Linked DNA regions of Tribolium castaneum. The protein of the gene in region 1 interacts with the protein of each later gene in a pairwise test. Links are inferred from orthologs where the notes say so. Each region holds a gene or a part of one and is shown on either strand. Other genes may lie near its edges.

Region 1 (3,823 bases):
AAAACACCAGGAATATTCCACATCGCTCTGTGCCAAATTTAAAGGGAAACTTCTCAAACACGTGTTCAATAATACACTATGTACACTGGTACTGGTTTCTTTAGAACTGGATGTTGCCGAAAATACATGTAGACCGCGCTTCTTGATTTCCTTGGTGTGAAAATAAGGTCATAAAAATTGCAACACTAAGAAGGAATTTGAATTTTTTGGCACAAATGGTCGACTATTAGCGAGTAATAAATGATTACAATTTTAACGAATTTAATCAAGTGATAAGGGAGTTTTCAACATTTGAGTTCTTTTACCAGCAAGTGTTATTCTTCCAATTTATTGCTTTTCCGACTAACTTTTTATGTTTTTTTTTTAATTCGTTTAGGTTTTGGTGTTCTAAAAGCACAATTAGACCTGGAGACGACAAAACTAAAATTAACAACAATTTAAGCAATTTTGAAAGAGGCATGATTTTTGGACTTCAAATAGGGGTTTTTCATTTAGAAAATTGCTAGTCATTTGGATAGAAATCGAAGTAACATTAAGTAATGTTATCAATCATAGACTGGAGAAGGCCCAGGACAGCGCAAAAGAGAAAGCATACTTAAAAAAAAACAAATGAAGTCCAAAATGGTCGTCTTCAGGGTATGGCTATAATTTAATTACAAGACAAATATTTGCCCAATGGGTGGATTTAAAGGTCGTTTTCACTTTGGTCTGTTTACCATCGAAATTGGTCATTTGGACTGTTTCCTTTTGGTTTTTCTTGCTATGGGAGAAATGGACAAAAACGCATATCTAAGCCTGATCCATCAAACCTTTATTCCGAAACACAACGCATTTCGACCATAATATGGTCAGTGTATACAGTGTATATTTCACCTGAGAATGACCACTTTGTGGTTGAAACACGTTTTTACAAATAAAAGTTTTGGTGTGTCAGGTTTAAGCTGTGTTTTTGCTCATTCCTCCCATACTTAGGAAATCCAACAAAAAGCAGTCTAAATAACCTAATTCGACGGTAAACAGTCAGAAGCGAAGTACGACGACCTTCGAACTCAACCATTGGTCAGAAATTTTTCTTGTACTTGGATTATTACCATAATACGAAGATGACCATTTTGGACTTCATTGATTTTTTAAGGCTGCTTCCTCTTCTGCTTTGTCCTGAACCTTCTCTAATCATACTGATAACATCGCATAATGCTACTTGGATTACCATTCAAACAAATAGTAGTACCTCCAAATGAAAAAAACCTATTCGTTTCCCAAAAATTGTGCTTCTTTAAAGTTTGTTTAATTGTTGTTAATTTTTTTTGACATACTCTAGGCATATTTTCGTTTTCATAATACTTAAAACTAAACGGATTTAAAAAAATCACTTCAAAAATTGTCACAAACGAAAAAAAACACTTGCTGGTAAAAAAGTTTAAGTGTTACCACTTGATTAAAAATGTTCAAATTTTAATCAATTAATGCCTGCTAATAGACTAACATTTGTGCCAAGTTTCATCAAAAAAATCGTATTCCTTCTTGGTGTTGCAATTTTTATGACACTGGGTATACAAATTCAATTTTAAACCAGTCACACCGAACTTTTATTTGAAAAAAACAAAGCGTTTTAACAATATTTTGCCTTACAAACTTATTTTACTTCTACGAGCAAAAAATATTTTACCGCTTACGATAACAACCCCCTTCTATTCCTTAGTTTGTGGTGGAGGAAGTAAAGTTGGTATATAAAGCAAAAAACAACATTGTTAAACTAGTTTCGTTTGTATTCTCACCTAAGAACGACCGCCACGTTGTAGTTGAAAGGCGTTGTGTTTTCAAATAAAAGTAAATACATGTACCCAGTCGCAGGGCCAGGCTGTATTTGGAGAAATTGAAGCGCTTGTTGGTGATTTGGGCGAAATTTATTTTTATAGTAATTAACTTGAATCGTTTAAATTTAAGCGGCGAGTTTCCTCAGAATAGAACAATTATCTCAACCGTTTAATTTAATTTAATTCGGGGTACAGTCTACACAAAGTGGAATAAATATACGGTTCCACCCTGTACACTTGATAATTTTTGCGTATATGATTTTCCCGTTTTAATTACTCTGGGTTACGTCATTTACATTTATAACTCGGTTCCACCATAGATACAACCCTTTGTCGCCGCCTCTCGTCGCAATTAATTTGCATGTTTTAAAGGCAAAGAAAGTTCTTTATTGTTCCTTACCAGCAATTACGAGCCTCATTACTGGAAGGCTAAATCGAATAAAGAGTAGTTTACCTTCGTTAAGCATCTACTTTATATTAAAATTGGCTGCAGCGTGTGTGAGATCACACCTCGGGGAGTACGAGAGACGGTCAATCTACTCTAATCCGGCGACAAGACCTAGAAAAACCCGGAAAGGAGCTTCATAATTAAATCTACAAGCGACCGCTTTGTAACCGCAATACCCTTGCAAAGTGCTCCCGACCGCAGGCCCTTTTTTCCTGCCATTCTCGGTTAAATAAAGCGGCAGAGAAAAATTCCCTCGATTGATGATGCCAGTGTAAACAATCTTAAAGAAAATCTCATGATGACCAAACGAGACCCTTTTTACTTGTTGCGTCGCAAACATCGATTCTTAAAGAGTGGGTGTGGAAACACTACAACCTTCAACAATTCGTGATAAATGGCCGCGTTCCCCAGACGTTTATGTTTGTGCACATCAACAGTTCATCCCGAATTGTTCCCATATTTCACCCGAATGAGACGATTCGAGCTCTAATTACCGCTAGCGAAATTTTCTGAGACCCGAAACGAAAGAAGATTTTTCACAACTCTAACAATCGCTCAGAGAAAAAATCGAAATCACTTACCGCACGCCGAGATCTCGTCGTCGCCGAAGTCCGAGAGCGAGTCCGAATTCGTTTCGTCGTACGGATACCATTTACTCGAATTGACCGCACTCAAAATCACTGCTTTTAATTTTCTCCTCGCGTTAAATTTTTTTAATTCTTCCACCGACTCGCCGAGATGAATCCTTAATCCCTTATCGCGATCCTGTAACAAATCCCCGACCTCCAGTCGACGCATTCTTATCTAAACGGCCATAATTACCCTCAGCCATCTATGATTTAAAACTTCCTGTATCGTTATCCTCTGTTTGGGATCCACAGTTAACATTTGTTGTATTAAGTCTTTTGCACTATCACTAATGAGCTCCCACTGCGGCGAATCCAACTGGAAGCCGCCGAGTTTTATAAGCTGCTGCAAAAATATCGGAGTTAACTCACGTGCAGTTTGCCGCGACATATAGATTCCATGAGGCGACGGCCGCTTCCATGGAAAGGCAAAACGCCGGAAAGAAGGATGTGGAGAAGGACACCCGCACCCCAGATGTCCACGGGTTTGCCGTACGATCGCCTCTCGATCACTTCGGGGGCCATGAAGTTGGGACATCCCACTCGGCCTGGGAAAAAACGCCAAACTTGGGCCAAGTAGCCACAAAAGTACATACCCAGGAGGTAGCACTTTTTTCCAGATCAAAAAAACACTACCTCCTGCACTAAAAGACTTGTGGCTTGATTGAGACTTTCAACAAAACGTTGAAAACATCGCAAGGAAACAGTAGCGTGCACTGCGCAGCATATGAGATGATTAAGACAAAACAAATGAGATGTAGATTTGATCCTCGGCTCTGGAAGTTAAGTCAATTTAACTCTAACCGAACCTTCTGAGATTATTAACGTGATATACACCAACAAAGTTTGATGGAAGTATCTAAATCACATCAAGCGTTGGATTCCCCATTGATTGGCAATTAATCACTCAAAATGAAAAAAACTCTCACTTT
Region 2 (4,563 bases), on another chromosome or scaffold:
TGCTCGTCTAGCAATCTTTCACCCACGCCATGAATAAAAAACTCCAACATGACACGTTACACTCAAGCGTTCTCTAAAACTTCATTACAGCACGTCATTAGTTCAATTTATTGACAACGGTATGAACACTTTACGTTGCTCCCTTAACAACAGTTTCAAAATCGAAAATCAACATTGAGAGTTTCCGAGTTTAATGAATTAATTTTGAACGTAAGAGAAGCTATTATTGACATATTTCTAAAGTGTAAATAACAAACTCTTAATTAGCTGAACCATAAAAAATTCTACAACATGTCAGAGATAAACGAGAATTATGTTACACCAACGCACCTTCTTATTATTTGGCGAAATAAAAACGCGCCACCTTGGGATTATTCATTTTACGTTCTTGGTTCATGAGTCGAGTTTGTGCTCGGATTATAAAAGAGAAGAGAGAAAGTTTATTATAAATTGAGCACCTCAACATCAATCATAAAAATGTCAAGAAGTTTCTCAAATATTTACAAAAAATATCTTTGTACTACTCTACTACTCGCTTTTTAAATAAAAAACGATCAAGGTTGGGATCAAAGTAGTGCACCATAAAGAAGAAAAATATCACGCGTCCTAAAATGAGATTCTTTTGCAGCCAACAGAACGAACAGTGGTAGGCGGAACCGAACAATATCTTTGATCTCATTTCAATATTTAATATACATTTGAGTCGTCCAATAAAAGTTTTATGAAACCTTGGCTTCAGCACCGTATGTGGTGATTTGGCAAAACATGAACTTATTGACAACATACTGAATAATACAGATTTTATTCCCTATTTAAAGGATTTAGTACCGCAAGTATGAACTTTGTTTCAAAATTTCTATACTAATAATTCCGGCAACATTTGGATAATAAAATTAATGGTAATACAAAATTTTCGTACTGAAATGTTGTTGAAACGGATAATACTAAATCAATACAAAACGTTCGGTTTGTTACCAACACCTGAATAGGAATTATACTTTTCTCGATCAATTATGAAACACCTATTGTTGTGCATTTGTTATTGAAGAAGAATGTCAAGTCACCCTATAATCAAATCTCGCTTCGCTAAATTTTTGATTGCTTTCTAATTTCGTATTTGATTCTGTAGCTTGTTTTCTAACACAATATTTGCTTGTCACTGTGCCTGTCATACTGTAGTGTGCAAAGTACACAAACACGACGTGTTGCCAGCTGTAAAATAATCCCGAAGGTAGATTTGTTTACGAAATTAAATTGTCAATTTAAAAACGAACTTTCCTCAAAGTTGATAATTAACCGCTGGTTCAACTCAAATTAAGTAATTTTCCATTAATTAACTTTACGAAATAAGAGAAAGCCGCGCAAACCGCATAAACCAAAGAATTAATTATTTAATTTCAAATAATTGTAAATACTTTCGTTAAAATTTTATAACATAATGGTGACGTATGTAAGGTTTAATGAAGTAGAAAATTGATTTTATAGCTTTATATTATGAATCGATAAGTGTGAATTGCTGTATTGCTGCATCGTAAAAATTTAGACACGAGGTGGTCATAAATATTAAGTCTCCAAGTTTCGGGCTTTAAACAAACGGTGATCAATTATGGTGGATGCGCCGGGCCAAATTTAAAACTCCTCATCATCGCAGTTTCGAATTTAGCTCATTAAAAAATAACAAATTGGGGAGGAGGCTTTAGTTCCTCCCAAAATTCATAGACGTTCATTAAACACAGTTAATGATCTCCATCCATCACCTCAAATTACCCCTCAATGTGTTTTTCCCGGTGACAAATCTTGAATGTCGTCAGCAAGTGCACTCCCTCGTGATTTGCATTCCCATCTCTGAATCTTTATTATGCATCCGTGTTTTATTCAACAGCCACATGGCATCGATTCCAAAACCTAAATAAAGCTCGAAAGCTCTTCTGACACCTGATAAATAGTTGGTACGACCTCGGCTTTCATACTCCTTGTTTCTACTAACCCACATGCGGGTTATCTGGCAAGGTCATTGCTGCAATGTCTAGACTACATCAGCCAAGATACATTATTTGCCTTGCACACACTATCATTAACCCATTTGCAAATATCGATTATGAAACGCCAACTGATACGACTTCTCTTTGCATAAATGCGATTAAGCTAAACCGCTTTATGTATTAGAAATATTTTTCTCCGAGCGAGTTTAACCAGGTCGACGAACGCGAAAATGGAAAATATATCAAAAGTTCCGTCATGGTTTACTAAGTGACAAATGTAGCTACAAACCAACTTTTACGAGTGTTTAAAAAGTGTCTAAATCAAACATTGTACGTAGACTTGCTGCAAAGTTTGCCGTTTTTTTAAGTCCGCAAAAACAAATTTGCCTGCCGCCATTTTGGGTCATGGGAGTTCCCTAATGGCAAAATTAATTCGGCCTTAAATTAAATTACGTCCTTCTGCACCGTCTCACTTTTTACAATTTTCATTTCGTTAATTTCTCCAAGCGCAAAACCTTACGTTGCGAATTCGATCTCCTGATGATGTTTTCCAGAAACGTGTTCTGGGGGGCGACAAGGCCCCTTCGTCCTCCCGGCATCTTTGGTTTCTTCAAAAGCGCAAAGTTTTGCCTGTCATCTTGCCGTAACTGACATTGTGTTAGTCTTTCACGATTCGTTGCGAAGCCATAACCACACTAGCCGGAGTCTAAGTGCCGTAGCTTACGCACCATGGTATTTTTTTTCGGGGGCACAAAATTTGCACGTGCATGCTTTAGACACTAGACCGGCACTTTCGTACATATTTCCATAACTGGGCGAAAAAAGACGAATTCCGATGCTAATCACTACATTTTTAAACTTTCTTTTCTGGAGTTTGCTTGAGGTTTTCTTGATTTTTGCGGGCACGAAGTGAACATATTTGCACGATATGTTCCATTATACTGGCGGTATAAACACGGTGCCGACCGAATATCGCCACTGAATAACGAAAAATCGAAAACGATTCGAGCGCCAGGCGTCAGGACGCAACGGCGTCTTTGCGTACTACTGATCGGATTTTGAAGTAAGACGGGTAGATAAAAACGGACGCTTGTTATCTGCTTACCCTAACTTTGATTGTTTTTGACAATTCTGCTTCAGTTGATCACTTCAGGACAATCCACGCCAGACAAACAGCTTTCAGCTGGCTTGAATATATGAAATTAACTCTCAAGGGCGGATTTGAGTTATTGGCGTTTAGCCTAAGCAGAGGAAGCACCAAAGGCAAAAACACGATGGGAAGTTTTAAATTTTTGAGGTGTTGACGCGTTATTTTTATTTTTAATTATGAAATTTTGAGGCTGTTTCAGAAAAGCAGGTTTACTTATCACAAGAAGACAATTTCTTGCTCGTATTCCATGTATTTAAGAGCGTTTTCAGCAAGAAATTTAAAAAAGAGATTCGTTATTATTCCTGTTTTATACCTAAATCTGAAACAGTTTTCACCAACAAATGCACAATCCCGAAAAAAATATTTTTGTCTATTTTTTCTTTCTTAATAGAAAAATCTTTGACTAAACGACGTGAAAAAATTAAGGTGGAAACGTGTTACAATAGTTTTTCTTGTTTTTAAAAAAACGTAATTTTCTTACAGTTTGTCTGTTTTGTAGTTTTATTGTATGCGGCACTTACCTTTCAATCCCAAATTCTTGTTTCAAATCTTAAACTTTCACTCTTTTTGCTCGCTTATTCGCGTGTAACACTCCGAGGTCGCGATGATGTGATAGCAACTTAACCGACTTTTAAATAAAAATCAAAAAATTGTTTAAACTTTATTGACTTTAATACAAAATTAGTATTTCTTTAAAGATCGACGGACGGGCATCTCCACCTTGAGCTGCTCCCTCATACGGTTACAAAATGTTGATGGATCTTTCCAATAAGCCTTCACCACCTTTTCCAGCAACAGATTTCTCGTATCGATCATGCTATCTCCGCAGAAAGGGCACAACTTCAATCTTCTGTGGCAGCAACTACAAAAACTGTGCCCTCGGTCACAAATGAGGATTTTTGCTTCCATTATATCGAAACAAATCGGGCATTCAAGCGATTTCGGTACTTCAGCCATTATAACTAGATGTTAGAATTAGTTTACACGCACTTTTACGTAAATTAAAACTTCGTCACTTGACTGCTTGAACACGTTTATCACAGGTTTGAAGAAAACCGCTGCAAAAACCGATTGTGATAAATTTCGGTTGGCAGTACCTACTGTGCCGGATACTGAAATATTGAAACTATCTACGAGGGAAATTCAAGTAAAAACCGAATTCGATTATAACGTTTTATTGAATCAAAAATTAACAAAACTCTGTAAATCACATTTAGAAATAAATACGTACCTATTCGAAATAAGTTAGCATTAAACAAATCAAAAATAAGATAAATTTTAACGTAAAAGGTTTCGATAATATCATTTGCGACTTTAATGTTTACTTTAAAAAAAAATTAACTTTCGGTTGAGAGTCCTAAAAAGCTCAAAAAATAATCTTCTTTGTGTCTAGAGACAATAATTTCATTCAAAATGCAAACCAATTTTAAG

What was found.
Region 2: the proteins of CASK (region 1) and eag interact in binary tests that used the Drosophila melanogaster proteins (3 or more experiments, as listed by UniProt). The link is inferred for Tribolium castaneum from reciprocal best matches to the Drosophila melanogaster genes CASK and eag.

The regions. Positions count from the first base shown.
Region 1 is NC_087400.1:7,151,998-7,155,820, forward strand, and holds part of CASK (peripheral plasma membrane protein CASK), read right to left. Parts: intron 3,440-3,823; coding exon 3,264-3,439; intron 3,211-3,263; coding exon 3,088-3,210; intron 3,031-3,087; coding exon 2,847-3,030; intron 1-2,846.
Region 2 is NC_087402.1:8,616,670-8,621,232, reverse strand, and holds the start of eag (potassium voltage-gated channel protein eag), read right to left. Parts: upstream 2,989-4,563; 5' UTR 2,582-2,988; coding exon 2,503-2,581; intron 1-2,502. UniProt on the Drosophila melanogaster protein: Structural component of a potassium channel. Mediates the potassium permeability of membranes; potassium current is regulated by CaMKII and CASK. Has a role in growth of the perineurial glial layer of the larval peripheral nerve.